Cricetulus griseus: one gene and its partners. The protein of the gene in region 4 interacts with the protein of the main gene of each other region in a biochemical or structural test. Links are inferred from orthologs where the notes say so. Each region holds a gene or a part of one and is shown on either strand. Other genes may lie near its edges. The genes, in order: Arfip2, Htr2a, Cyth1, Arf6 and Cyth2.

Region 1 (6,068 bases), on a different chromosome or scaffold from region 4:
TTTTGAGACCTCCCTCCCCAATCTCAAAAATAAAAAAGTAAAATGCATATTTATGACCTGTAGGTGTGTGTGTGGGGGGGGGATCTGCTTTGTAAATAGTTGATTTTGGCTGGGATTTTAAAATTTAATTCCTTGGTAAAAAAGGAAAGCTGTTGCCATACGTGAAAGGATGGGATGGGATTAAGCAATGAAGAGGTAATGGGTAGCTTAGGTTGTTAAGAGTCCCTGCCTGGCATGCACAAGCCCTTGAGTTGAACCCCCAGTAAAACAACAATAACAAATGCACATCCCATACTGTTGCTTGCCCTGCATCCTGCCATTATCCTTGAAGCCCCACATGGTAGTATATGCCATTTCCTCCTTCCTTCCTTGTCCTCATACTGGAGATGACATCACGGAAAAGGCAGGGCCAGGAAAGGAGGTATCCTCCTGAATACAGATGTGAACCCCACAAAATGAGGGGGCAGTAACAAAACAAGAATAGAGAGGCTGGATCAGTTACGGTTGAGAACAATGTAAGATGGAAGGTAGAGAGCTGGAATTAGGAGATTCCAGACAAACAGTGAAACACTAAGGAAGCATTAGGAGCCACACAGATTATATTTAACCACCCCTCTATCACCATCTACCTTTCCCTTTGATTTCTCTTCTTTAGATTTGACTAATGTAGGCCTTCTGACTTGCCTTGAAGACAAGAAGAAAACCCTTCTTTGTTTAAAGTCCTTATTGCTGATTTCACAAAGACAGGAAATATTTAAGATGGTAAACTGGGGAAATGATTGAAATTCTAGACAATATTCCCACATTCTTACAGGCTTATCTTTGATCTCCTAAGAATTGGTGGCTAAAGCCTATTGTGGTGCTGTTTTCTTCTTCCTCTTGTTGTCTGATATCACATTCTTCCCCTAGATGCAGCACAATTCTTTTTGTATTACAGCTCAGAAGAAAACTAGTTATTATGCAATATATATTCAGGCATTTGAGTTAGGCTCAAGGATAGCCACTGAGAGCTCCCCTTTTGGAACCAATTTCCCATTGCTATTACTAACCTTAAAACTATGTTTTTGCTGGGGATCTGAGAATGCTGAGTTTGTCCTACTACATTACAGAAGGCAATTTCTCAACTGCCAGGGCTGAGGGGAGAAGATAGGCACTAAATGGCAGAATAAAGGTTGGTACCAATAAGTGGACATAAATAAATTCCTGCCCAGAAAATCAACCAGAGTAAAAACCCGGTTTATTGGCTCCAAGAAAAGGAGCAATAGTGCCCAGCTTTCAGGCTCAATCTTTCTGTACAAATTTCGACAAGCCCAAGGTTCATAGAGGAGCCCATCCAAGCACCTTCTCTCCTGGGGCAGGCGATGGCTAGCTGCCTGATGGCGAGTCTCTGGGTTGTTCTGCAGTAACACCTGGCACGGCCGAGGCAGCCTCGTAGTCCGCGATGCGGCGCTGGACAAGGGCGGGCATGAGGTGGACGTAAGCGGCCATGAGGCGGTGGTTAGAATGGATGAGCTTCCCAGCACAGCTGTGTAGACAGGCCTCCTGGAAGGAAGACAGAGGTAAGCAGAGACCAAAAGGGGTCCTGTCAAGCCCTCCTCTCCGGGGCCCCAGCCTAGGGGTGAGGTCATGGGAGACCGAGATGCAAACGGGGGGTGGGAGGTGGACACGTCACGTTGTCAACCTCTGGGGTCCCCACAGTCCCCACCTCCTCAGCGTCCAGAGCTCGGTGGTGCAGGCTGGGCACACAGCGCTGGAAGCACAGTTCTGTCATCCGATTGTAGACCAACAGGAAATCTCGCAACTAAGAGAAAAGCGGATCAAGGCTTCACCACCGCTGAGGGTTCCTGGCGTGCGCAGTGCAGCCTGCCTTCCCCACTGGGGGTTCTTGCATGTACCCCAGAAAACAAACCGCACGTCTAACCCCGAGAACAACTTAGCTCTTACTCACGTTTCTTAGTTGCTGCTGCTGCTGCTCCATCACGCTCGGGGCACGCAGCCCACTTTACTTCCTCCCTGGGGGCGCGGAGTCACCCCGGAAGTAAATTCTCCCTAGTCACCAAGAGCTTCAAGGCGTGGTTCCAGTATCGCCCAGCCCATGTCTGCTAACGTCACCTCCGCCCTTTTGCTCTGCGACGTGGCCGGCTTCTTCTGCCCAGAGGGCACGTCACTTCCGCCGAATCTCTGACCTGCTGCTAAGATCGCGACGGGAACTGGAACCCGAGGTCCCCGCGCGGTCCGGCCCTCGCGCCCTGAGGGGAAGAGTGGCCCGGCCCAGGTGAGAAGGACATACTTGTACGAAAGGAAGTTGAATGCACGAACCTGTGCGGAGGGCAAGATGCCCTGAGCCCTTGGCAAGGATGAGGACACACCTGATGCCCAGGTGTGTGGGGGGGTGGTGGAGGGGACCTCTCACATCTGGAAGGCATAAACTGACTTTGGAAGGGACTGCCTGTGTCCTGGGAAAGAAGCTTTTAACTGACACCGGGAACACACCAGCTGCTTCAACTAAGGCCTGGTGGGGAGGGCCTGAGGGAGGCAGGTGCATGAGATGGAGAAAGGAGAGACCATTTGAAGGAAGAGGGGAAGGAACATCAAAGGATTTGAAAGACCAGGGATTGCAGAGCATGCTTGAGTGGCAAGTGAGCATCCGAGTCTAGGAAAGGGTTTTGCCTTCTGGTAAACATGCCTATGCAGGGCCAAGTTCCCAAAGAGCACAGACATTCCCCTCTGGCCCTCACTGCTGTAATCCCATTGCCTCAGTATCTGACGCATAGTAGGCACTCACTAAGTGTTTGTTGAGTGACTGAATGTGTAAAGGTTACTAAAGGTGAGGTTGGGGTTTGTGAGAAGACACCCAAGGCTTTGGTATACATGCATCTGTAGAAATAATGTACTTGGAAGAGAAGAAATACACATCTCCAGGAAAGTAGGGGCTGATCTCCAGGGACACCCAAGTCCTAACAGACAACCCCTGAAACCTATTAGAACACAGGGAAGGCCTCCTTGTTCTGGAGTGCTGGCCAGTTTCCAGAATTGTCTGTGTTGGGCTTTACAGCGTGCTGGGGTGGAGACCTTGACTCCAGTACCTTCCCTAGCCATGACGGACGGGATCCTAGGGAAGGCAGCCACAATGGAGATCCCAATCCATGGAAATGGTGAAGCTGGGCAGCTTCCTGAAGACGATGGGCTGGAGCAGGTGCTTCTGTTTGATTCTTCTAATTGTTTCAATTTAGCAATCCTGACTCTTGAATGTTTCGCTTTTCCCATCCCAATAGACTTCATTTAGTTAGTCCTCCTTATAGTTTTCAAGTCGTCATTATGATTCTATACAGACTTTACTATATACTGTCTCTATCCCCAAAATATTTCAGCCACCCCCATGTTCCTGAAGTGCCCCCTCTTCTCTGATCTATAGGACCTCCAGCAGGTGATGGTGTCAGGACCCAACCTCAATGAAACTAGCATTGTGTCTGGTGGCTATGGGGGCTCTGGTGATGGACTCATCCCCACAGGTATGAATGATAAGAGACAGGAGGCTTGAGTGGGAGGGAGACTAGGAGGCACATAGAACACATAGGAAAGCGTGAATCATGGATTGGAGAAACTTGAGAACTGCTAGTGTGAAATCCATAGACTGTCCAATCCCAGATCAGCTCTCTGAGCTCATCATCTGCTTCCCACTTGCCATTTAGATTCTAGCTTTCTCAATTGTCTTTTCTTTCCCTGGTGCCACCACCTGAGCCAAGTTAAGACCTATAAGTCACAAGAGCTCTGCAGCTTAAGGCTGATTTACAACTTTGTGAAGCTTCTCAGAGTTTTATAAGAGTCTTATACTGACTAAAATTCTACTTGGAAATACAAACCAGCTTCCCTGTTTTCTGTGCCCACCAGCTTTGACCCTTCCAGTCCCACTCATCATGTTTGCTTCTGTTTCTTCCTTCCCTGTCCACCCAACAACACTCCTACACGACCCCAGGAATGCCAAATACATACATTGAGTTGCTTTGGTTTTCGGGACCTAAGTCCCCGTTCCCCCTAATGAGCAGAAGAATTCAGTTATCTAGATTTCCTCTTTTAGAGAGGTCATTTCATGTGCTGGGAGGGAAGGAAGTGAGGTCACAGAAGTATCTGATTGTATGTGAGAGAAATTGGTGTTAGAGAACTTGATCCTTTAGGGTCTGGCCGCCATCCATCTCACAGCACCTCACCTTCTGGCCCTGGTGATGAGGTGGCCCGGGGCATCGCCGGAGAGAAGTTTGACATCGTCAAGAAATGGGGCATCAACACATATAAGGTAAGAGTCGAGTGCCTCTTCCCAGAAACTCTCCATGGGTACCTTTTCCTTTTCCCCAGATCTTAATACATAGTCTTTTGCTATGACTAAGAGAATGGGGGTGTTGGAGTAGTTACTTGTCGGGGTTGGGGTGGAGTTTAGATTTCTGACCTCCCACCCACTTCCCAATCAGTGCACAAAGCAGCTGTTATCAGAGAGATTTGGCCGAGGCTCCCGGACTGTGGATCTGGAGCTAGAGCTGCAGATTGAGTTGCTGCGTGAGACGAAGCGCAAGTATGAAAGTGTCCTTCAGCTGGGCCGGGCACTGACAGCCCACCTCTACAGCCTGTTGCAGACCCAGCATGCACTAGGGGATGCCTTTGCTGACCTCAGCCAGAAGTCCCCAGAGCTTCAGGTGCCTCAGCCAAAACAAAGAGGGTGGGGGTACTGGGCCCTGGCCCTTCCAGGCAGGCATTCCTCAGCCTCCCTCCCTCCCTCCTGCAGCCCCCAGGGAGAACCCCTCTGGGGTGTGCCCAGTCCTGCCCCCAGCATCACTCACCTATGGAGGCAGCCTAAGGGTTTGTACAGAGGTCCAAAAGTTGGAGGGGTTGTGGGAGAGGGCGCTCTGGTGCCTCACAAGTAACCCTTCTCCATATCATCAAGAATGCCTTTGGTGCTTGGCCTAATCAGAGTCCCTCCCCTGCCTGCTGCACTAGCTTTCCCTGTTCCTGTCTTCTAAACTTACCTAAGACTCTACTCCCACATTCCTACCCCAGGCATCCCCTAGGCGACCCTACTAACTTTGTGGCTAAGAGAGCCTTGCTAGAGGCAGTCTGGTTGTTTTAGTTTTGATGGCTGTTTCTTCTTTGGGACAGAAGGAAATAAAGGGCTCTGCAGCTCCAGTCAGGTAAGGACTCTTACTCAAGGCCTGTGCCTCCCTTCTGCCCATAGGAGGAATTTGGCTATAATGCAGAGACGCAGAAGCTGCTGTGCAAGAATGGGGAGACGCTACTAGGGGCTGTGAACTTCTTTGTCTCTAGCATCAACACACTGGTCACCAAGACCATGGAAGACACACTCATGACTGTCAAACAGTATGAGGCTGCCAGGTGTGGGCACTGAAAGGGCTCAAGGTTTGGGAAGTTGGCTGGCATGGGTGAAAATTCGAACATTTAGGGGCATACAAGTTCAGGAAGGAAAGAGTTACATGTATGGATGAAGAGGTGGAGACCAGCCTTTATCACCCCCTTCCCAGGCTGGAGTATGATGCCTACCGGACAGACTTAGAGGAGCTGAGCCTAGGTCCCCGGGATGCAGGGACACGTGGTCGACTTGAGAGTGCCCAGGCCACTTTCCAGACCCATCGAGACAAATATGAGAAGCTGCGGGGAGATGTGGCTATCAAGCTCAAGTTCCTGGAAGAAAACAAGGTGCTGCCCTACTCCCTTGGTCCTAAATCACCTTCCCATCTGACAGTGCCCTTCCCTTCAGACTCTCCTGATTGTGGGTGGGGAGATGCAGCCAGGCTAGGGACTGGGTTCCCCTAGCCCCTTGATACCTGAGCACTTTCAGTTCACCTTCCTGATCACTGGCCTTTGTTGTTGTTGTTGTTGTTGTTGTTGTTGTTGTTGAGGATCTGGCCATTAGTCCCAGGAACATAACAGAAAGAAATTGCCCCCTCAGCTGGGTTGTCAGAACCCTAGACACAGCAAATAAGTCAGGTTTCTTTCTTCATATTGCCCCTTCTCTTTTGACTTCTTGGAAAGTCCCCACCCTCAAAGCACTATCAGAAAAG
Region 2 (5,577 bases), on a different chromosome or scaffold from region 4:
AAAATTGAAACAAACAAACAAACAAACATTTTCTAGAGTAAATACAAACTCTTTTCCGAATCAGGTAAGAAAGAAATTGAACTGATTGATCTTCAAAATAAATCTGTTCATACTTTTTTACAATGACCAATTAAGTTGTCATTTTTAAATGCAAAGATCTTATAAATTTATTTTTATATCTTTAATAACTAAGGAACTGCTCCACTCATAAGATACAGTACATAGATCACTGTGGAACCAAGCTAACCCATTTTAATAAATAATATAAATACATTTAACCTGAAAGTATCAACTTTAAAAAAGCCTATATTTATTTATTTTCTTTTGGGGGCAGGGTTTCATGCAGTCCACACTGACTTGATAAATAGCTGAGAATGACTTTGAATTCCTGATTCACCTGCATCTCCCAAGGGCTAGAATAATAGGCATGCACCACCTTGCCCTGTGGATCCAAGCTAGTGCTCGCAGTGCTGGGGAATCCTGCATGCTAGAGGAACACTGTTATCATTGGAGCTATATCCCCAGCCCTTTGAAAACATCAGTTTTACCTGATTAAGTGTCAATAAGAAAGTCACTTGACTTTTTTTTTTTTTTTCAGAAACAGCCTAAGAAGCTACTGCTAACAGCGAGAAACCTGAGTTTATTGTTTAGCTGTGGCAGTCAAATCAATGTACTGGTCACAGCTCAAAGGGCGCATGCACAATGCAGTGGTCCCACAGTGCGTGACCAAATACCTCCAGGGTGCTGTTTCTTTGAAGCGCGTTCTAGAACTGTATTTCGAAAAGCAAAATTATCCTTTGATAGTTTACAGAGAGGAAAATATACGAAACAAGATCACATTGCAAATTCAGGTTAAGCCCAAGAAGTAGAAGAGAAAGCAGCACGTTATTGAGTAACATTTAAAACCCTTCCACATCTGAGAATTAAATGACAAATGCAGCAAATGCCAGCGATCTTGTGAACATTTCAAAATGGCATCTATGAAAAGGCAAGAATGAAAAATATTGTCAAGTATTTCAATTAATTTATATTAGCAATACAAATTTCATAATACTATTTTTTATTTTCAAAATATGTGTCATGGTGAATTTTAAACACTTTTTTAAAAGAGGCTATTCATTATTTTAGTATTTCTAGCTATTTTTATATACAATAATAGTTCACCAACTCACTCCTGCGCCACCCATCAACAACATGGCAGCAAGGTTTCAATTTGAATAATAGAAATTAATTAGATTGATTTTATGCCTCATTGTAATTGTACAGTAAAGTACAATGATCTTAAAGATCTCACTGACAAGGTTAAAAGGACAATGATAAAACCATAACACTCAGCTCAAATGCCGTCAGGACATTGTCCAAGTGCACATTTTGTGGTACACTGCTCTTCATACACAGAATACAATGAGGCATATAGATTCTGTTGAGTCACTGGAGTAGTCTAATTTGTCCCAGCCTCCTTATTCCCACCCCCACACACAAGGGCTAAAAACTTGTTCAAGTGCCAGCGTCACAGCAACCAGTCCGTCACACACAGCTAACCTTTTCATTCACGGTGTTGATATTGTCTGTACAAGTCTCTTCTGATTGTTGTTTTCCTAGTGTAACCATAGAGCAGTCATTATCTGTCGGCTCAGCGTCTTCCTTAGAGTCCTTATTTTGTCCCGCCTGGAGCTGACTAGACTTGTAGGCCAACGCCGGTATAGTGTTCACTAAAATTAACTGCAGTGGCTTTCTGTTTTCCTTGTACTGACACTGAATGTACCGTGAGAAGGCAGACCTGTAAGTCTTATTGAACAGTGTATAGACCAGTGGATTGACAGCCGAGGAGAGGTAACCAATCCAGACAAACACATTGAGCAGGGCTCCGATGACATGTTCGTTGCAGGACTCTTTGCAGATGACGGCCATGATGTTGGTGATGAAGAATGGGCACCACATTACGACAAACAGAAAGAACACGATGCCCAGCACCTTGCACGCTTTTTGCTCATTGCTGATGGACTGCATCGTCCTTCTGCCGGTGTAGGAGCCTGGCTCCCTGTGGATGGACCGCTGGAAGAGCTTTTCGGATGACAGAGAACTCTGAGGCAGGAAGCTGAAGGAGGCTAATTTGGCCCGAGTGCTGAGGTCACTCACACACAGGGTGGCTTCTTTCTGAAGGGACTTGATAGTGAGGAAGTAGGTGATCACCATGATGGTTAAGGGGATGAAAAATGCCACAAAAGAACCTATGAGGACAAAATTGTCGTCGGCCAGCAGGCAGCTCCCCTGCTTAAAGACCTTGGAGTCATCCTGCAATCCAAAGACTGGGATCGGCATGGAAACACCTGGAAGGGAAGCAGGGTGAGACACGTGATCAAGCAATTGCGTATATGAAGGTGAGAGTATCACTACAAAATGCTGGCTGGTCAAAGAATTTATACCACCTTACTTTAAGGTTTAATATATTACTGCAATGAGAGTTGGGCTAATTCTTACTCTATAGTTTTTCTGATTCTATTTTGGAGAAAACATACACAGAGGCAAAATGAAGCAAATAAAAAATGACCACTAACACCTCCATCCAGAGACCAACAGACAAACTTCCGTGGGCAATTTAATGTTGTTTGTCTTAAGCACGCATCACACACATCACGCACGCGTGCACTCACATACTGGGAAGAGGAACAAGCTTCTACTTTATCTACTATTTTGCAATTTTCCATTTCACATTATATTTTTGGTTGCGAGCCTAGCCTTTAACGGCTGAGCCATCTCTCCAGCCCCATTTCACTTTATATTATCAGCATATCTTACTTTGTAAAGTTACAAGTCTAATATAGTTCCTTTTTAGCAAATCTGAGAAATATTTAAAAAGTAAATAAATAAAATAGCATTTATTCTCACTGCCAAGGGAACATAGGTTACATTTCTTTTGTTTACACAGTACTTTATAGGCAGTTTTAGATCTTCCTTTCCCATTTTATATTCATTATAAGACTGAATTGCTTTTGCTTGCTGAGACAGGGTCTTACACTAGACCAGGCTAGCCTCAAACTCACATAGATCCCACTTCTTCAGGTTCTTGAGTGTATTTGCCAACATGTACAGCTTTAAAGTTAAACAAGTTTTTAAACTATTTTTGAAAAAACACTTTCTGATACTAATTTCAGATAATCCAAATGAATTTGGGTTAGCTTTAAAAAGCTTTTATCTTGGAGAAATTTTAACATCTGCAAAATCCAAAAAGAACAAAGGCAAATGTTGTCCCAGGGAAGCCTTATAGCATTTACACTTGTGAGCTCAAAATGAATGTTGTGTCATCTTTGTCTGGGATGGTCCTCCTTGTTGTGAAGTAAACCTCAGACATCACATGATTAAACAGGTATACATCTTATTGTGTAGATCTAAAAGTGACACACTTTCAGAGAAATCTTCGATCACATACTGGCTTAACCATGAAGAGAAACTTACTGTTTCCTTCACATCATGAAATATAGAATTCGTGTTCAGACTTCTCATTGTTTCATAAAAGTCATATATATTCACAGCAGAATACCTGATAGGATGAATTACCGAAAACAAGACAGCAGCAGACTTTTATTGTCAAATGTATGACTTAGGTACACTGGAACATGGGCTTGCAGCCAGTGAGTTGCTCTATGCTCAGATTTGGAGCATCTCTAATGGTCCTTCAGGTACACGCTCAGGCAGAGGAGTACAGCAGCGAGGAAATATCACAGCTGGCTCTGATCATGCTAATTTTTCCTCATGGTGATTGGACCCTACTTTGTGAAGTTTAGCTTGACCTTGATGGGAAGTTTTGTTCCTATTTGGAGCTCAGGCAATTTGAAAGAGGCTGATTAAGCCAAAGCAACCATGGTTCACTTCTTGTTATGTTATTTTCTCTGCCACAAAGGCAGAGATGGGAAAGGAGAAGAAACAACTGCAAAACTCACTCCAAGTTTGCCTCTTTCACCAAAGGATGGACAGAGGCTTTGTTTCCTTCCTGCACTTTTCCTGTATTTTCAGTTTCCCAAGTTGCCTGATAGAGGGCCCTGGTGGTGCTTTCAGAGGCTCTGTAGCCCCAGATGCTGCTCTCAGGCCAGCTCAGCACAGAGTCAGGGGCCACTGCTTAACCCCTGCCTTGCCATCCAACAGGAAAAGTTTCCTTTGAGGACGTGTACTACAAACACTGCAGCAGCAGTAACAGCAGCAACGACAAAACAAGAGACAAATAACCAAACTCTGCATGGTCAGAAATGAGTTTGGCGCTCTCCAAACACCGGTGTGGCTGTCCTAACATTCTGCTGTTGGGAGGGACAGTAGCTGGAACTTAAGAGTGATATTTCGCAAGAACATCTGTCTGTCTCCCCCGCCCTCTTGTGTGTGTGTGTGTGTGTGAGAGAGAGAGAGAGAGAGACAGAGAGAGAGACAGAGAGACAGACAGAGAGAGACAGAGACAGAGACAGAGACAGAGAGACAGAGAGACAGAGAGAGAGTGAGAGAGAGAGACAGAGAGAGACAGAGAGAGAGAGAGAGAGAGAGAGAGAGAGAGAGAGAGAGAGAGAGAGAGAGAGAGCGCTTGCCCACCATCTGGGGCCATATTGGAGCCTAAGGCTGCCATCCTCCTTAATCACTTCCTCACTTTATGTTTTGAGACGGGAATCTCTCACTGAACCCAGAGCTTGCCATTTAAGCCAGACTGGAAGGCCAGTGCCCCCTGATCTATCTGTTTCCATCTTGCTAGTCCAGATGGCCAGTGAGCCCTTGATCTGTCTGTCTCCATCTGGTCCCTCCCTTTTGCTGCCATGCCCAGATTTTTGCATGAGTATTTAGGATCCAAACTTGGGTCCTCATACTTGCCCGGCATACACTTTGCCCCCTGAACTGTTTTCCTAGTCTGATAAGACTCCCTTTGAGTGTCATTTTCCCATAACTCCACAGTCTCTAATGATAATATTTGTCACTTGTCTATGCAAGATCATTCCAGATTTTTTTGTTTGTTTTGTTTTGTTTTTGGAAGGTGAACATAAATGACATCCAGTGATAATTTTTGTGGTAAATAACTCTTAATTTATTGCCACTGTGTCCCTGCCACATTGTTGAGGACATCCTCTGAGCCAAGAGTTATGACTGTAGGGGAACCCTCCTCTGAGACCTTCTGATACCTCACCAAATTTCAGAAAACTAACCCTAAAAGATAACCTATGATTTATAAGAGAGCTTTCTTTTTCTGCCAATATTTGAACTCATATCTGTGAGAGATGCTTCTTGTAGTCATCCAGTCTCATTATACAGACTCCCTGCTTACTGATTAGAATGGATACACTGGACATCCATTTCAGATGGGTTTAGATTTGAGTCTTGGCTATGGCTCTGGGCTCCTGGGGTGATTTTCAGTTCTTCTATAATATGAGGCTGGTGCCAATGTGCCTTCATGAATGGAATGGGGATAAAATGGATCAAATATGCAGAGCACCAGGATGGTGCATGACCCAAAGGAGATAGAATAACAACTGAAAAGCAGGTGGCAATAATTTTCCTGGTGTCATTACTGAGAAAAAAAGGTATCAGCAGTGTTTTATTTTAATT
Region 3 (5,577 bases), on a different chromosome or scaffold from region 4:
TCTTTGCATGGACTCAGCTCTTGTCTTAGAAATCCTCACTGCCAAGAAGAGAACCTTGTAGAAAAAGCTCTCCCGACACAACACTGGCACAGAGGACTCCTCACTCACCTGTCGACTGGAACACCCCATTATTGCACTGACAGTATCGCTGAGCAAAGGCCTCCATCATTCGGTCAATCTTCTGGGCCTCTCCAGGCAGCCGGAAGCTCCACAGGAACTGCCTAAGGGTAGAGACAGGAGCTTTGCTTTGACCTGACCTGCTGCTGCTGAGGACAGCAGCAGAGGACAGCAGAGGACAAAGGAGGTGAGGGGCTTCAGTCATGTGACAAGTCTCCTGGGTACAGTACCACAGGGTGATTTCTGCAGTTACTACATGTATTAAAATCATAGCTCAAAGCCTGGAGAGATGGCTCAGGGGTTAACAGCACCCACATGGTGGCTCACAACCATCCGTTATGAGATCTGGTGCCCTCTTCTGGCCTTACAGGGATACATGCAGACAGAACACTGCATACATAATAAATAAATAAATCATTAAAAAAATCATAGCTCAAAAAAATAAGCTCAGGATTTATACCTACAGCAGAGAAAATTAAAAAGACAATTTCTTTAAAAGGCACAGAATAAACTTGGTTAAAAAATTAAAGTTGCTGGGCAGTGGTGGCGCACGCCTTTAATCCCAGCACTCTGGAGGAAGAGGCAGGAGGATCTCTGTGAATTCAAGGCCAGCCTGGTTTACAGAATGAGGACAAGCCAGGGCTAGATAGATAAACCTGGTCTTGAAAATTAAACAAAAAAAAAAGTTTGTCTTTTTTTTGTTGTTCAATTTTAAAATGAAATACACAACTACCTAGTTTAGGGTAAGAAATTAAAGGTTTTCTATTCTGAAGAGTAGAAACAATTTCAATATTTGATTGATGAACAGTCTTTCCACCCCAAGACCAAGACAGTCCTAGCGAATGGTTTCCCACTCAGGCATGTATGTTACATGGCCTCCCTTGGAATACTTGAAAGTAGTCACAACAACCCCAATGACAGGACTTTGGTCAGACAGACACAGGATGGACACACTCCCACTCCACGGTGCCTGGCTGACAACACCCACCTCAAGGCCTGGACGAGGTTCAGGTCGGTGAACTCATGCAGCTCCACAAATGCGTGCAGGACCTGGATGCTGAACTCATCTCTGTCAGGAAGCCAAAAAGAGACAGGGATGGAGCACAGGTGAGGTCGTGGACACTAAGGCCAGGACCCATCCTGGTCCCAAGCAGATGGTATCCTGAGTCCCAGGCCACGAGGCCTCTCAAGCCTGAACATCCACAGTTGGGAGGACATTGGCCTGGCCCTCTTTCCTCACTAAACAAGCCAGGAAGCTACATAGCCCTGGACGGGTGAGTGCTCCTCAGAGCACCTCCACTCAACACCATATGGCCACTGCTGCACTAGCATCCCACAGTCATCCCACGAGCTTGGGCACCAGGGGGCTTGTTCTGACCTGATTCTGACCACCCTCTCTAAAGGCCTCACCTCTCCCCAAGGTAGTCACCAATGGCGGTTTTGTTGAGCCCTTCCCCTTTGTATAAGAACTGGGCAATATCTTCACAAGTGTTCTTCAGCAGGTCATTCTCGATTAAGAACTGGATCCCCTGCAGAAAGAGCCGGTGACAATGAGGAAGGGTAAAGGCCGCCGTGGGTGTGGGCCCTGGAGCCTGTGTCCAGGAAACATCCACCAGTGGACACAAGGATGGAGTATTGCAGGTTAGGAACCGGAGCCCCAGATGCAAGACGGTAGGGGGAACCACCCAACAGTAACTCCAGAAAACAGCTGCTTTGAACAAACTCATCCAGTCTCCATCCCATCACCAAGAAAGCCCCCACCTTAAGACCTGGGCAGGGGCTTTGTCCCTTTCTTTTTCACTTACCTTTTTAGGATCCATGTTGAATTTCTTTCTGCCCATGGCTACCTGTTTGTTTCTCTGCATGTTTTTCCTGAAAGAGAAGGGCAGCCATCAGTGCCCTGACTGCAGGGCATTCTGGGGGCTGGAGCAGTCCTCACACTGACAGACGCGTGGTCAGCTGACGCCCTGGCCCAGGCTCAGGCTCAGGCTCATTTGCCTCTTTCCCTCTAGACTCATGGTTTCTCTTAGAATTTTTATTTTCTTAAACTTTGTTGTCTACATATTGTAGAATCTGTCTGTTTTGAGTATACACCTGGATGGCTTTTAGTAAGCTAAGTTGTGCAACAATTACCATAACCAGTTTTAGAACACTTTCATCAGTCCCATAAAATTAACCACACCCGTTTCCAGTTCACCGACATTCCTACTTCGAGCCCCAGGGACTCTCAGTCTATCTTCTAAGCACAGATCTGCCTAATTCTGGACTTTTCATATATGCAGAATCACGGAGTGTCTGGACTTCCGTTCCCGGCTTGTTTAGCTCAGCATGCTGCCTTCAAGGTTCGTCAGCACAACACTCCTGTCTACTGCTGAGCAGCGTCCCTCTGCACATCTACCTCTATCTGCTCTTCAGACGACTGATGCAGAGTCAGGTTTGGGGTCACTACCCACAGAGCTGCTACAGAAGCACCTGCCCACCTTGTGGTCGACATGTTTTCCTTCAGCAAAGTCAAGGTTGTATATAGATGAGTTATGTACTTTTTTTTTTTTTTTTTGGTTTTTCAAGACAGGGTTTCTCTGTGGCTTTGGAGGCTGTCCTGGAACTAGCTCTTGTAGACCAGGCTGGTCTCGAACTCACAGAGATCCACCTGCCTCTGCCTCCCAAGTGCTGGGATTAAAGGCGTGCGCCACCAAGCCCGGCAAGGGTTACGTACTTTTTTAAATTTAGCTTTTTAAGATGCTGTACAAATAAGCAGCAGTTTTCTTAGCTGTGCCTCAGACTAAACAAGTGCAGGTTACACACTTTGCTTCTCAGGGTGTGGTTCCCGAACAGCTGAGGGAGCAAGTCAGACATGCAGAATACCAGCGCTCATTCACACACATGCTCCTGGGCCCTGACAGGAGCTCTGTCACCCAGTGGTCTGGGAAGGGTTCAGGGCTCCTGCCCATTTGTTCAGTCCCACAGACAAATTGGGTTACAGGTTCTGGGCCACTGAGTGACCCCATTTTATGGGTAGCATCTAGGTGATATTTAAACCCTCCTGTCTGGTATACTCTTGAGAACCAATAGCAAGTTACAGTTTCTGAGCAAATGTTTTACTCAGAAATAATTTATTTATTGTCTTAAGGAGCACCTCAGCACTGGCCAGATCCCCCAAAGGTAGAAAAGTCCCTCTGTTCTTTTCTTTTTTCCTGGTTAAGACAGGGATCATTCTGTAGCTCAGGCTGGGCTGAAACTCACACCTCTCCTCTTGCCTCTGCCTCCCAAATGCTGAGATTACAGATGTGAGCCCACCATGCTTGGCCAGGCTGACTTGAGGTTTGGAATGAACTGGTGTAAGTCTCAGGTTAGTTATCTAATTATGTTTTCCCTAAATCCAGGAATATTACTGTGATCCATATTTCAAAAAAAAGGAAGGAAGGAAGGAAGGAAGGAAGGAAGGAAGGAAGAAGCTGCTTGGTGATTTCCTATAAGAGTGTTCAATACTTGGAAATCCTACAATGGCAGGGCCCATTACCATCCACACTGGCCCTCGGCATTCTTTGCCTTGGTTTGGTTCCTTCCTGGAGGCTTTCTGGCCTCTGGCAAGCCCAGACTTCAGCAGTACACTCCCAGATCTCTGCCAGCCACAACTGGTGCTTCTGACCACCCTGGGCACCACAAGGGTGACTGGCTGACTTCACTGGTTCCCATGAATCAGCTCCTATCCGTAGCCATCCGTAGTCATAAGCCATCTGTAGTTTATGACTGCCTGGTATACTCACAGGATGCAGCCAAAGTTCCCAGCTCTGTGAGTCAGCTCCTGTCCCCTACCTGTCTAGCATTGTTATTTGTGACTGACGGCCCAGTCACTGTAGTTGTCTGGTTAATGTTGTCAGTGCATATGGGTCAGCTGTCCCAACTTCAGCACAGCCTCCCTTGGGTACTAGCTTTAACAACTAGGTTAACTTGAGAAGGCTTTACGACCCGTAGTATTACACTGTCTCTACTTCTTACATAGCATTTGGAGTCACTGCTACCGAGTGCTAATCAGGCCTTTGATTGGAAGCATGACAACCCACCCATGGAAAAGCCAGAACGAGTAACAAACCCCGACTACACAGATGCTCAGAATCTCCTGGAAAGCTCCCCTTTCAGGGTCTGCAATCCTGGAAAACCAGTTTGCGCTCCAGTTTAAACCATAAATCACTCAAGTGTGGCTCTGGGCTCACAGACGCACTGATGAAAGTCCATCTTCTTCTTTATGTGGCCTTTAAAATCTTTTTATTTATTAATATTGTTTGTGTGCACCTACATAACGTGCATGTGTGGGCGTGGAGGTCAAAAGATAGCCTTGTGGGGTCAGTGCTCTCCTCCCACCGGGGAACAGAACCCCAGGGTCACAAGGCTTGCAAGGCAAGCACCGTTGTGTGCTGAGCCATCTTGTCAGCTCTTGTGTGTCCCTTTGAGGGCATTTTTCACACTTTAAGCTTCATCAGATGACGGTGTTGCTTGTTTATGCAAAACCACGGGACCCTGCTGTCCACTCAGACAGAACATCTCCAAACCAGCCATGACTGTCTAGCTCACGATGGGCAGATCAGGATTGCATGGGAAGAACTGAGCCCCAGTGAGCAGAAACCTGGTTTCTTAAGTTCACCAGCTGAGTGTTCTCAGTGCCTCACTGCCAATACTGCTGGAGTCTGGTGCACACTGGGACCATGGTAACCCCAGAAGCCCACGCATGTGCGATGGCATCAAAAGACACAGAAAGGAAGTGTACCATGATATTAATCGTGGTTCTCTCTGGGCTGCTGCTGATGGGAAATCTGTTTTCTTCGTGCTTCTCCATCTTTTTCCAGCTTACTGCAATAAACATGCATTCCTGAAGAGTGAGATGACTCAGCAGCACAGGGACTTGCAGCTATGCTGACAGTCTAAATCAGTCCCTGGACCCACACAACAGGACACAACTAGTTCCAGAAATCCTTCCTCTGACTACCTGTGTGCTGAGGCATGTGTGCCCACTTCCACTAAATAAGTGCATAAATAAAAATTTAAGATAAAAATTCCACTTGGCAGGGCTCCAAAGCTACACAGAGAAACCCTGTCTCAAAAAACCAAAAAAAAAAAAAAAAAAAAAATCACTTAGAACCAGGAAAAGCCATTAATTTGCTTTTTAATTCAGTGATAGTTCTCATTCAGTGAAGGTTCACACCCTAAGTGCCCCATTCACAGTTGCGACAGGCATGCATGCCCTGGCCACCACCCCAGATAAAGCCTGCTCCCATCTTCCCACTAGGTTCTGCTCAGGTCTCTGTCTGACACCTGTCAGCACCCTCTGCTCTTTCTGATGGGACATCCTGGCTGTCTGTCTCGGCTTTGACAGAGTCTGTATTATGTCCATGTGGTACTGTGTACACACATATGGATGGCTTCTCTATTCTGTGTTTGTGGGGCTCCCACATGCTACTGCAC
Region 4 (6,205 bases):
AGCTAGTTAGTTATAACAGGATCTCATATAGACCAGGCTGATCTCAAACTTCTGATCCTCCTACCTCCATCTCTCAAGTACTGGGATTACAGGTAGGCACTAACAAACCCAGTCTTAATGTATGATCTAAATCATACTATATGTCACATCAATGAGATTAGAATCAAACTACAAAAAAAAAAAAAAAAAAAAAAACTTGACTAGTGTAGGGAACGCTTACAAGAATATTTAAATGATTTCAAGCTATTCATCCACAATTTTGCCTTTCACATGGCTACAATTATAATCAAACAAGCAACTTTGAACTCAAAGAATTTTTGAATCCAACTCTATTAAAGATTAAGACAACTAAAAAAGAACTCTGCAAGCCAATTCCTTACAAACACAATTTTGTACTTTCAAAATGCTAAGACTGTAATTTGAAAAAATAGACACCTGCAGTGGAGATGGCTTATAGCCCTAACAACTTTAGGATGGAGCAAGGATCACAAGTTCAAAGTCCACCTGAGCAACTAAATCCCTATCTCAAAATGAAAACTACAGCAAAGAGTCAAGGATCCAGCCAGCAATGTGGTGGAACACCTGCCTAGTCTTTACAAAGGGGAAGGGAGGCCTAAATACCTTCAGTTGTCACAGAACACGGATTGGTAAAATTAAAACAGAAAACACCTTAAATAGCCACTATTTAGGGGAGAATCTTTTTTATCTTTTATAAGTCAGATGAGTCTCAAATTCACTTTTTACCATATATCCTGGAAAATAACATAGCCCAAGATACCAGTACATCCCACTTATCTACTCCAAGTAACATAACGTGAGAAACTGCACTGTGTAATTCCTTTATTTTCTGCATGTTAGTGCTTCAGCAACACTACAACCATAAAGAACAATTCCAAGGACTGTACTTTTTAGCTGGGGGAAGGGGGAATCACAGTCTACAGACTCATTTACTTATATTAGACAAGATTAACCTCATTCAGAACTTAGCAAGTTTATAAATTCACACAAATACAGAAATTGATGCAATTAAACAAAATCTTTAGGACCTTATTTTTGTAATTCTTCCATTATAACTTTTTCTGCAGGCTCTAATTTCCTGCTTCATAATCACCAATGGTTATGGTTCAATTTAACTACATCAATTATAAACCTTTTATATATACTCTTAAAGAAATGTAAGTGAAAATTACAGTTTCTTTCCAAAAGGTTTAGGTTTTCTTCAAATTTCAAATGTTTCCCCCCTCCCACCCTTTTCAGACATTTCAAATAAACTAAAAATAACCCATCTCACCTGCAACATTCAGTAATAGCAATCACTTGTATAAAATTTTAACTATGCCCCCAGTTATTTTAAGACACACAAAAAAATGGCTGTCTACCAATCTGTCTGTCACAAGTTAGAATACTACATTTAAGAATCAACATGAGGGTTTCAAGTTTCCTCCAGTTTAGGCATTTATACCTTTGTGCTTATTTTGTTTCAGGATGTTACTGTAGCATTGATATTTGTATAACCATATTTATGTACCTTAAAATGTAATCATTTAAAACACTAAGAATTACATTTACGGTGGAGCTTTGGGAATTTTTAAAAGCAACTATAATGTTCTTAAATATGTGAATCAGCTTCATTTCTAGAGATATTTTTATTAATGTGAAACTGAGAACTTTAGGTTTTAGTTGCGTCTTGATTTCAAAATCCCTCTGCACCAATAGGAGCCTACAACATAGCACCTTTTCTCATCTGCTTTTAGTTAGTTTTACTTACAGCTCATTTTTGTATAGCCTTCTGTTTCTCATACATCTTTGGTAAAAGCTCCATTATACAATATGGCCAAAACATGAAGGACCAATACTGTCCAACGATACCATGATATCCGGCTTGACTTTAGTTTTCAGACACCCTCATAAACAGAACCATTCCACCTTTTCCTGTATCCTGCCCTGGCAGTCTACATTTCCGAAACTCCCTAAGTTTCATTCCTTGAGGATCACTACATTAATCCTTAAGGCTACACAAGAACCAGATGCTGCTTCACAATTCTGAATCAACATTAACATTTGGTTCAAAATTATCACCATAGTGGTCTCAATCTAGTAACTGGTCCTAACCAGCTCATCTTGTTAAGATCTGGATATCACCAGAGAGCACAATGCTTACCCTTAAAGAAAAATAAATTTACATTCATTGTCATCTGTAGGTTCTTTCTCGTCATCCTACTCCCTGTGTCACCCCTCCAGTCTCCATCACTCATTCAGCACATTTCTTCCTTAAAGGAGACGATCTACGACTGAACCAACAGGATATCTATTTGCATGAGTTAATACTACAATCAAGCAAAACTAAATACCTTTTTTTTAAATAAAACATCTTTTCCAGTGTTTTAATTAATGGAGATGTAGATCACTCATCTATTTAAAAAAAAGTCATATATCTTCAGTTTAATCAGTTGCTGTAATGTGAAAACAGGAATGTGTATTTTTTTTCCAGCTAGGAAAAGGTGCATATAATTTGACTTTTTAAATGTTTTATTAGTGAACAAAGTAAATGTTTAGTAATTTTAAAGCTACTTGTCTTAAGAGATTTGAAACAAGGTAACATATGCCGATTTTGCCCGAAAGTCACTTAAAATATCTACAAATATTTCATCTGTGTGGCGTACACCATTATTGCTCCATTTTCTGGAAAGAGTCTATTTTTAAAGGAAGAAGAGAGGGAAATAGCAAAGTTACTAACTTTGCAGTTTAAAAGATCTGCCCCCTTGTAGAGGTGAGTTGTTTTATGCAGCGTACGTTAGCTATGGTGAGGGAACTTGAGTTTACTCCTACTCATGCACTTTAATAGCTGACACCTGAAGGGATTCCCTACATTACCTGTTTCACACACTGATGTGCAACTGGAACATTACACTGGTATTACTCATTATTTTGCCACTGTGGGCTAAGTTCACCATACTGGTCTTGGATATAAAAGGTCACATTTGAAATTGCTAAAGTTAGCACTAACAAGGAAAGGGGGAAGGCCTTAAATATAAAAGACAAACGGCAGTTTGATTAAGCAATAATTTTCAGTTTACTAGATGAAACAGACTCGCAACATAGTCTGCATGAATGCAAAATAAGCCATCTACAGCAAGTGGTAAGAAACTGGGCAAAAAGGAAAAAAGCATACATTGGGGGGAAAAAAAGATTCTCTCGACATAAAAAAATCAAACCATTATTATAAAGGATTTTACCAAGAGCTGCTATTACCCCACCCCGTTTGCTGGAAGTCACAAGAGCATCTAGCACTGTTTTCGTGTCAAATATCAGATCAGAGCATCCTAACGCAAAGCCAAAAAAAAAAAAAAAAAAGAAAGAAAGAAAAAAATAAAGAAAAAGAAAAAGAGGAAACCCCAACCCCACTAAACCGTAGAACAGTAACTCCAGAGTTCAGATTCAAAAAAGAAAGTGGCAATTGAAAGAGGTTGATGATGGTGGCGATAATCCTATGAATGGGTTTTTGATTTCTCTCCTTCCGGGGGATGGGTGGAGGATGCTCATTAGGATTTGTAGTTAGAGGTTAACCATGTGAGCCCCTCATAGAGTCCGTCCCCGGAGGTGGCACAGGAGGGCTGCACATACCAGTTCCTGTCCCGAATCCGGGTCAGGCCCAGTTTCTCCTGGATCTCATGGGGTTTCATGGCATCGGGCAGGTCCTGCTTGTTGGCGAAGATGAGGATTATGGCGTCCCTCATCTCCCGGTCATTGATAATGCGGTGCAGCTCCTGGCGGGCCTCGTCGATGCGGTCGCGGTCGGCGCAGTCCACCACGAAGATCAGACCCTGGGTCCCGGTGTAGTAATGCCGCCAGAGCGGCCGGATCTTGTCCTGGCCGCCCACATCCCACACGTTGAACTTGACGTTTTTGTAAGTCACCGTCTCCACGTTGAAACCCACCGTGGGAATGGTGGTCACCGACTGGCCCAGCTTCAACTTGTACAGGATCGTTGTCTTGCCGGCTGCGTCCAGACCCAGCATGAGGATCCGCATTTCCTTGTTCCCGAAGATCTTGGATAGCACCTTCCCCATCGCGTCGGAGGAGCCGGGGCCGGGGGCATTCAGGTGTCCCGGGTCCCCTCAGCCTATAACGCCGCCGCCGCTGCCGCCGCCGCCGCCGCTGCTACCGCCGCGAGATCGAAACGGAGCCGCCCCCGCGCGAGGACGCCCTGCGTGCGGCCTGCGCGAAGCTGCCTGCTAGGGGCAGGGGCCCGGCCTGCGCTCACTCGGGCATCGCCCGCCGCCCGGGCCCTGCGTCTGCGCCGGGGAGAGCCGCCGCCCTGCTGAGGCGAGGCGAGGCGCGGCCGGCCCGGAACTGCCCTTCCCCCGCAGGCGCCGCCGACAGCAGCTCCGCCGCCGCCTCGGCACGCGGCGGCTCAACCGCGGCCCTCCCGCCGGCCCGCGAGCACCGGGCTCGCCACCGACCCGGGTCACCCGACGAGGAGCGCGGCTCCGCGCCCCGTCAGGTCATGGATCCTCGCGGGAACTCGGTGCTGCCTGCAGGGACACAGAGAAGGGAAGAAGGGAGTTACCGCCGGGACTCCGTGGGTGCGGAGGCCGACGCGGCCCGCCGGTCGGGGATCGGCCCGGGAGGGTTACCTCCAGCTGCCGCCGCCGCCGCCCCGAGCGCGGGTTCCCTCCGGCCTGCACCTCCTCCTCCTCCTCCCAGCTCTGCCGCCGCCGCCGCTGCCGCCGGAAAAGGCGCCGAGGAAACCGCCTCACTTCCCCTCCCGACTGCGCGTGCGCAACTCGGCCCGACCGTTCGGAAGAGCGCGACCTCAGTAAGGAGAGTGGTGGCCCGCGCGCCCAACGTCACGGGCGCCACGCGCCGGGGGGCGGGGCTACGGCGGCTCGCAGGACCCAGGGAGGCGCCTCGCGGAAGCCCGGCGGCGCGGGGTTGGCGACGCGCCCACCTGTCGCTCTCCCGGGGGGTCTTCCCCGGTTTTTTCCTCCTCCGCCGCTCGGAGGCGCGGGGTGCAAAGCCGCTTGCGGGGTGGGCGTCGTCGGCGCTGGAGACCGACGCCCCCACCCACGCTGCCGAGGCTTGTTCCCAGACTCCCCGCGCAACGTCCCTCCCGCTCGCCCCAGCCTGCCAGCAACACGGTCTCCTTTCTACCCGGTCGCCTCCCGACTTCCTCCAGCTTCCTGGAAGACACGTGGGAGGTCGGCGTGCCACCGAAGCCGTCCGTCAAAGTAGCCCTCACTTTTTTCTAGTCTTGGGTTTGCTCCGAAACCCTGCTTTGGAACGTTTAAACTCCTTCTCTTTGTAAGTCTCGTCGGAACCGCCCACGTTTCTTAGGAAAAGAGTATCAGGGCCGACGACAATGAGGACCTGTGCCCCAGGCTCAGAACGCATAGGGTGAAAGGAGAAAACTCCCTTAAATTGACCTCTGGGCTGCACGAACAATAAGGAAACCTATTTGGGTTTTGTTTCGGTTTTTTTTTTTTAATACTTTCTCATTTAGTGTCCGTGTGCGCAGGAGAGGTCAGAGGACAACTTGCCAGAGTCAATTCTTCCACCATGCGGGTCCTAGCTATCAAACTCAAAAGTCATCAAGCTTGGCGGCCCCCACCTTCACCTGCTAAGCCAGCTGGTCCTGGAAACATTTTTTGTATTAAATGAATAGTGTTAAGGTTAGAATAGAAACTTTAAATATCAAATAAGGGCAGAAATAAACACAAGGGGAGAAAAGAAAGTTAAAAGAAGTTGTTACAACAGCGTTTGATAATAATACTGTTTCTATTTTGTAACCTAAGAAAATCTGTAGCCACCAGCGAGACAAGGTGGCTCAGCCTGTCCCCGAACTGATGAAAGTGAGGCATAAATTCTAGGCCAGCCTAGGCCTAGGCTGTCACCATTTGACACGTAATACATTTAATGTTTAATTCAGGCTGGAGTCCCAGGCTGGCATCACATTCACTGTGTATAGCTCAGGATGTTCTTGAAATTATTATTCTCCAGCCTCCACCTCCGAGGAGAGGGGATAGGGTTAGGATTACTGGTGTGACCCCACTTATGGAACAACCGGTACTTGAATCCACACCAGGCTTTTCACTTGGGTGCTGACTGAAGGTTTGAACTCTGGTATTTGTGCTTACAGAGCAAGTGCTTTTTAGCCTCTGAGTCATCTCCCCAGCCCCAATAACAAACTATTAAAGAATAATTA
Region 5 (6,252 bases), on a different chromosome or scaffold from region 4:
TCCTCAGGCAGGTCTCCGCCTTCATTGATGCCCCGGTTCATGGCCACAAAGCGCTCCAGGCCTGGCTTGTCCCTGACGTTGGGATTGTGAAGGCTGGTGTTCAGCATGATCACGGCAAAGGACAACACGTAGCAGGTGTCTGTACCAGATAAAATAAGGCAGCTGGTGATGACCCAGGACCTTCCCAAACTCTTTGTCCTGTAGCCTCAAAGTCTGGGAATCCAGATCCCAGCATCTTCCCTCAAACGCAGTCCAGATTTCAGCACTTTTTCTACAGACTATAGGTCCAGGCCTTGCCCCCTGGTCCTACCTGTAGACTGGAAGACCCCAGGGTTACACAGGCAGTATCGCTGGGCAAAGGCCTCCATCATCCGGTCAATTTTCTGAGCCTCTCCAGGGAGGCGAAAGCTCCATAGGAATTGCCTGGTTAGGGGAGAAATTGGTCTGGCATAGGTTTCAGGGCTGGGAAAACACTCTACTTTCTTAAGTCTCTGTCAGAATCGGACAAATCATTATCCAAACCTTGCCCATTGTGATGCACACCTTGAATCCCAGCACCCAGGAAGGAGGGAGAGGCAGGTGGATCTCTGTGAATTCGGGTCCAGCCTGGTCTACTGAGTTCCAGGCCAATCAGGGCTACACGGTGAAATGCTGTCTGAACCCCAACCCCCCAAACAAACAGAATCAAAATCTCTTGCCCCAGCTGCTATTTCAGTAGGCATGTAATTTGATCAGACCAGTAGGTTCTGGCCATGGATTCTGGTGGATCTATAGTGGAAAAGTCTTTTTTCTACCCCGAGTTGGCTAAACTGGACTGGGGTTGCCAGGTGCTTTTTTGCTGTCATGTAGGAAGATCCACTGAATACACCAAGAGAAAGCCTGAAGGAGGCCCCATCTGAACTTGTTTATTAGAGACAGTCATTTCCTGACTGTTGCATCTCTGTTGGAATGGTATGTTCCTCACAACTGAGAAAGTCCTGGCAGGTACATTTCTGTCCCATTCTCACCGCAGGGCCTGCACCAGATTAAGGTCGGTGAACTCATGCAAATCCACAAAAGCATGGAGCACAGATAGGTTTAGCTCTTCCCTGGAGGAGGGAAGAGAGAGAGTCCCATCAGGAGGAGTGACAGGAGCCATAGCAGTATCATCTCATTTACTATGCCACCCTCCTGCAGATGAACCTTGTTCTTGTAGCTTGTCAGATCTTTGAGTACACAGACCACCTGATGTCATCTTGCAACTGCTCTCACGCTTCCCAGATGCCTTTATCTCAGAACTGACCTTTGTCTAAGAATTCATAGCTAGTTCCCAGTTGCTATGCAATCACATGTCCACAGGTCTCCAAACACTTGCAGCTCTGACCCATGATAAAAACTTCCAGACAATACTTTCCATATGCTAGCTTGTATATGCGTGGTTAAGCCAGTGACACTCAGACTTCAACAGTGTCCTTGTTTACTGGATGACTACAGGTCCATCTCCCTCTAGTTTCAAGCTCCCTCAGAGCCAGTCAGTCCACTATATCATGACCCAGGTGGAGGCCACAAACCTGCTCTACCCATGAACTCCTATTGAGGCTGGGAGTACTACTGTACAGGCTGGGCAGCTCACCTTTCCCCGAGGTAATCCCCAATGGCTGTCTTGTTCAGCCCCTCACCCTTGTACAGGAAGCGGGCAATTTCCTCAGGTGTGTTCTGCAGAAGTTCGTGTTCTACCAAGAATTGGATCCCCTGGATGGAGGATGCCAGATTTATGCCAAGGCAGAGGCTGCTGCTCCCCATCCAAGCCTCTCCACCCTAACAGAGCATGGTCATCCCTAGCCCATCCTCTCAACCTCTGCCTAACTGATTCCGGCATGTATAGCTGGAACAGGTTTGAAGAATAATTGAATACATGATACACTGTATAAAAAAAGAAGCAGATACCTACCCATCAAGCTGTAAACACAGCACCCCTCCCTTACTGCCATATCTCACCTTGAACTGTAGCACTTACACCTAGGGGGATCCCTCAGAGTAAGGCAGGGTCTTAGCATTCCCAGCATTGCCCAGCACAGGACCGGGCTCCCAGAGGCCTCAGTACATGAACATTCATGGAACAGATGGACAGGGATCAGGAGTCTTGCCTAGAGGAAACCTATTATCTTAACACTTCTAGAACCTAGGATATCAAAACCATGCCTGAATATATCTGCTCAGCTAACTAACCTTCTTGGGGTCCATGTTGAACTTCTTCCTGCCCATTGCCATCTTCCGGTTCCGCTGCAAGGTCTTACTGCAAAAGCAGGATGGGCAGCAGCCAAAGGTCAACACTTGAGCATCCAGGGCCCTGGCCAAGCCCTGTGTCCCACGAGCTCGCCACAGTCCTCACCTGCCCTCATTGGCCTCCAGACCCTCCACCTCACTCATAGCTTCACTCAGCTCCTCTCGCAGGCGCTGGATCTCCACCAGCAGCTCCTGCTTACGCCGTCGGATGTTCTCTAGCTCCATGCGCTCCTCCGGAGTCAAGTCTGGGGGCTCTAGGAGTCAGGGTCAGGAAATGAGTTCTGGGGGGGCCAAGATTAAGGCTAAGAGCCTGGATTCCTGTCCAGAAGAGAAATGGCTACTACAACTCTTAGGGAAGAGGGAGTAAGACTCTGAACCCTTAGTCTGGGGCAGAAGTGCCTGGGAATCTCATCTCTTAATAGGTCTGGGGATGAACTTCTGGGCCCATTACTTGGAAAGATGGAGCCCTGCCTTCATCATGAAAGTGTGGACCTAAATCTTGGGTGTATTACTTGGAAAGGAACCAGTCCCTGGGCTCCTGGACCCATCACCACAATGAGGAACTCTTGGGATGTTACTTTAGATGTTTTACTTGGATGCCCTGGTTCCTTGGTTCCATCACAGTAGAACGGGAGGCTTGGATATTGAAAACATTACTTGGAAGGACACAGGGCCTTGGGCTCATGGCTCCATCATCGCAAGGGATCTGGGGCCCCAGATCCTGGGTGTATTTCTTGGAAGGTAACAGGTCCCTCCATCATGGCTGATGACCTGGGATCCTGGACCTTGGGTGCATTTCTTGGAAAAACACCAATACTCTGGTTCCTGGGTCCACCACGGTGGGGACCCTGGCATGGAGCTTGGATACATTTCTTGTAAGGAGGCCTGATCCCTGGCTCCACAATAGTGGGAGAGTTGGGGTCCTGAATCCTGGGTGCCTTTCTTGGAAAGGAACCGAGGTTCTGGCTCCTGGATCTGTGGTCTGAATCTTGGGTGCTCAGTGAAGACAAGCCATGGCATCACGACCGGGGTCAGGATCGGTAGGGAGGTCACAGAACCAAGGTTCGCAGCAAGAAAGGCAGCGGCTCGCGCGGGTGTACGTCCCGCCCCGCCCCGCCCCGCTCTTGTCGCTCCGCCCCGCCCCCCCGCCCCGCCCCGCCCGCCGCCGCCGGAAGAGGGCTCGGCCCAAACAATGGCCGGGACCCCCGGCTCTCGGTCGCGCCGGAAGCCCGTTCCGCGCGCACAAGAGCGCCTCGCTACCACCGCTCGGCTGTCCTTGGCGGGGCTTGGGAGCCACTCCGCCCTCCCGCCTCGCCTGGCCTACCGTAGACACCGTCCTCCATGGCGGCTAGAAAAGCCCGCGGGGAGTCCGGGGCGGTTCCGCCGGCTGGGCCTGAGTCCGCGTCGGCCCGCGGGCTCGAGTGAGCCCGCTCAAACGCCCCAGGAGCCACCGCCGCCTCCTCAGCGCCAGTCCTCAGCGCCGAAAAGACTCTCCCTTCACGGCCCAACCGCCCGGCCGCTGGGGCCCGCCCCTCGCTTTGACACCACCCAATCGGCTGCGGGTCTCCCAGACTGCTCCGCCCCCGAAACCACAGGATCATTTCCAGGACCAATAGACACACAAGAAGCGGTTGCAGGCACGTACAGCTAGCGATAGACTGTTAGAGTGACCAATCGAAGTGCGTCCAGGGGCTTGGTCCCGCCCCCGAAACAAAGGAAAATCCCTGGCAGCTTTATCCTCCAATAAGAAAACTCAAAAAGGAGGGAGCAGGAGGTGGGGATTCGTGGAGCAGGGAGGATTGCGCCTGCGCACGAGCCAGACTAAGACGGCCTAACCTTTTCAGAAATTCGTTGTTAGGGGGTGGTATTTGATTAGTCTTGTTGTCAAGGGCGGAGTCTCAACCTTGAGGTGTTTCCTGGGACCACACCTCCTGGCCCTCCACGCTAGCTTTTGACCGCGGCGGTTGCCAAGCAACTGGGAGCCGCACAGTCCTGTCTTTGCCTTCTTCCTCAGGGTACTTCTGTCTCAGGCAGTGGCTGTCTCTGAACTCTTTCCGTACCACCTCACGTGACTTTCCTCCACACCTCAGTCTCCTCAGTCAAAGGATGGTAAAATAAAGGCATTATCCCTTCCAAATGTATTGGGGACCACAAATACCCTGGATCTACCCTCCTGGTGCTTTCTCTCTTTCAGGCTCTTCCTCTCTCCTAAACGCTCGTCTTAGCTTCCTCCTCCTAAAATCCCGCCTTCCCCAGATATTTGCCCAAGACATCCTCTTCCCTCAGAATCTTTTTTTTTTTTTTTTTTTTTTTTTTTTTTTTTTTTTTTTTGGTTTTTCGAGACAGGGCTTCTCTTGGCTTTGGAGCCTGTCACAGGCACTCGCTCTTGTAGACCAGGCTGGTCTCGAACTCACAGAGATCTGTCTGCCTCTGCCTCCAGAATGTGCACTGACTCTCTTGGCAGCACTCCAGGTCTCTGTGGTTAGGTCCTCCTTCCACCCAGCTTTTCAGTCCTCAAAGTCCTGCCCTTCTTAATCGCCTCCCCCTCCCAGAATCCTTTCTGTTTTGCAGGAAAAGCAGTGAGGGTCCTGTCTGTGATGGGGACTCTGGCATATTTGTAAATCATAGGCCCATAATGGGGCTGATGTGACTTCCAGGTCTTGTCCTCATTTGTGTCCCTGGGCTGCACAGGTCGGGAGGATTCAGAGCCAGGACTTGGTTAAGTCTTTGGATTAGTCATGGAGCCTCCTAATCCCCTCTCTGACCTTTATGAGTGGCCTGACCCATGCCCTCCCTTGCTGGAGACCTGGTTGTGCCAATCCTATCCCACCCTCTACTTCCCAATAGAACCACATGCCCCTGCCTCTTTACATCAGCTTAGCAATTTTCTCCACTATGGTCTCCATCATCCCTAGTCCTTCCCTGCCCTAGACCCAGGGGTGGGAGAGCTGCCAGCTAATTAATCCTGTCCGGTTATTACCTGGGGATTCTGAAGGATAAAGCAAGATGAGAGCCAGAGAGGGCATGGGTGGGTGGATTCACTCAGGCAAGCCAGTGCCAATGCTGGCTCTCTGTTGGGAACAAGGGAGAGGGCACTCCCTCCTCCTGGCAGCTCCCCTCCTGCTGGCCACCAGCCTGCTGGGCACTTAGGTGGCTGTACTATGGGTGAAGACCAAGAACAAGGACCAACATTCCAGAAACACAGGCACCCTGCTGGAGCTCCTGAGCCTTTACTACAATGATAGGGCTCCCCTGAGAATTCCACTTTTCTCACAGTGAACATGACCCTGGAGATAACAGCTGCCCCTTCCATCCCCAGCCCCTGACCTGGAGCACTGACTCTTGGTGATAGCTCCTGCTTCCTCTTGCTGGTCCTATAATCTACATACAATATGGAACCAGCCATCAAGTCAGTATCCCCTTCCAACTACCCCTGGAATGCTGTGTGTTTCAGTATGAGGGTGGGGACAGGAAATGTTAGGACCTGCACTGTATCCTAGCCTCCATCAGGTGAAGGGCCATCCTGTTTGGGAGGACCCTTGGAGAACTTCATGCTCTAGTGGCCCTTGTTCCAGGAACTGAAGCAACACAAGGAAAGGTTTGCCTAAAGTCCTGAAGTTACTTGGAGTTGCTGGGATTTAAAGTAAGTCTTCTAAGATCTCTGCAAGGGGCTCCAATTGGCTTGACTCTGTTCACATCTTATTACAGGAACCAACAGAAAAGACAGAGATCTGTATTTATATCATATATAGTACACATATGTATAATATTTTTGAGAAACAGACACACATCACTAGGTATAGTATTCCAGAATATTTTAGGCTCACCAGCCTCAGCCTCTCCCTTCCCTTGCCCCCTAGTTAGCCCTGTGACCCTCTAGGCTCTTGCTTGCAAGCTCCGCCCAGAAGAGTGCTTCCTAGAACTACCAGGATGTCCACCTGAAGGTGACCAGGACATCGAGGCTTTGGGAAAGGACAGCTCTGGGCC

Evidence for each region.
Region 1: the proteins of Arf6 (region 4) and Arfip2 form a complex in vitro, tested with the Homo sapiens proteins (2 studies listed by BioGRID). The link is inferred for Cricetulus griseus from reciprocal best matches to the Homo sapiens genes ARF6 and ARFIP2.
Region 2: the proteins of Arf6 (region 4) and Htr2a form a complex in vitro, tested with the Homo sapiens proteins (2 studies listed by BioGRID). The link is inferred for Cricetulus griseus from reciprocal best matches to the Homo sapiens genes ARF6 and HTR2A.
Region 3: the proteins of Arf6 (region 4) and Cyth1 form a complex in vitro, tested with the Homo sapiens proteins (2 studies listed by BioGRID and IntAct, with this or other methods). The link is inferred for Cricetulus griseus from reciprocal best matches to the Homo sapiens genes ARF6 and CYTH1.
Region 5: the proteins of Arf6 (region 4) and Cyth2 form a complex in vitro, tested with the Homo sapiens proteins (3 studies listed by BioGRID and IntAct, with this or other methods). The link is inferred for Cricetulus griseus from reciprocal best matches to the Homo sapiens genes ARF6 and CYTH2.

What each region holds. Positions count from the first base shown.
Region 1 is NC_048596.1:94,062,475-94,068,542, forward strand, and holds the start of Arfip2 (arfaptin-2), read left to right. Parts: upstream 1-2,125; 5' UTR 2,126-2,275; exon of another isoform or gene 2,276-2,380; intron 2,381-3,055; 5' UTR 3,056-3,097; coding exon 3,098-3,196; intron 3,197-3,415; coding exon 3,416-3,512; intron 3,513-4,175; coding exon 4,176-4,294; intron 4,295-4,466; coding exon 4,467-4,688; intron 4,689-5,224; coding exon 5,225-5,382; intron 5,383-5,528; coding exon 5,529-5,703; intron 5,704-6,068. Other genes in the region: Timm10b (mitochondrial import inner membrane translocase subunit Tim10 B), read right to left, coding at 1,366-1,542, 1,706-1,801, 1,949-1,978. UniProt on the Homo sapiens protein: Plays a role in constitutive metalloproteinase (MMP) secretion from the trans Golgi network. May have important functions during vesicle biogenesis at certain cargo subdomains, which could be predominantly utilized by secreted MMPs, such as MMP7 and MMP2.
Region 2 is NW_023276807.1:229,100,872-229,106,448, reverse strand, and holds the end of Htr2a (5-hydroxytryptamine receptor 2A), read right to left. Parts: intron 2,331-5,577; coding exon 1,528-2,330; 3' UTR 581-1,527; downstream 1-580. UniProt on the Homo sapiens protein: G-protein coupled receptor for 5-hydroxytryptamine (serotonin).
Region 3 is NC_048600.1:130,747,329-130,752,905, forward strand, and holds part of Cyth1 (cytohesin-1), read right to left. Parts: intron 1,990-5,577; coding exon 1,923-1,989; intron 1,647-1,922; coding exon 1,528-1,646; intron 1,187-1,527; coding exon 1,106-1,186; intron 222-1,105; coding exon 109-221; intron 1-108. UniProt on the Homo sapiens protein: Promotes guanine-nucleotide exchange on ARF1, ARF5 and ARF6. Promotes the activation of ARF factors through replacement of GDP with GTP.
Region 4 is NC_048598.1:133,996,231-134,002,435, forward strand, and holds Arf6 (ADP-ribosylation factor 6), read right to left. Parts: upstream 4,251-6,205; 5' UTR 4,071-4,250; coding exon 3,543-4,070; 3' UTR 824-3,542; downstream 1-823. UniProt on the Homo sapiens protein: GTP-binding protein involved in protein trafficking that regulates endocytic recycling and cytoskeleton remodeling. GTP-bound form plays an important role in the transport of multiple palmitoylated proteins form the Golgi to the plasma membrane.
Region 5 is NC_048599.1:154,707,131-154,713,382, forward strand, and holds the start of Cyth2 (cytohesin-2), read right to left. Parts: upstream 3,800-6,252; 5' UTR 3,609-3,799; coding exon 3,590-3,608; intron 3,371-3,589; exon of another isoform or gene 2,520-3,370; coding exon 2,372-2,519; intron 2,276-2,371; coding exon 2,209-2,275; intron 1,732-2,208; coding exon 1,613-1,731; intron 1,089-1,612; coding exon 1,008-1,088; intron 424-1,007; coding exon 311-423; intron 140-310; coding exon 1-139. UniProt on the Homo sapiens protein: Acts as a guanine-nucleotide exchange factor (GEF). Promotes guanine-nucleotide exchange on ARF1, ARF3 and ARF6. Activates ARF factors through replacement of GDP with GTP.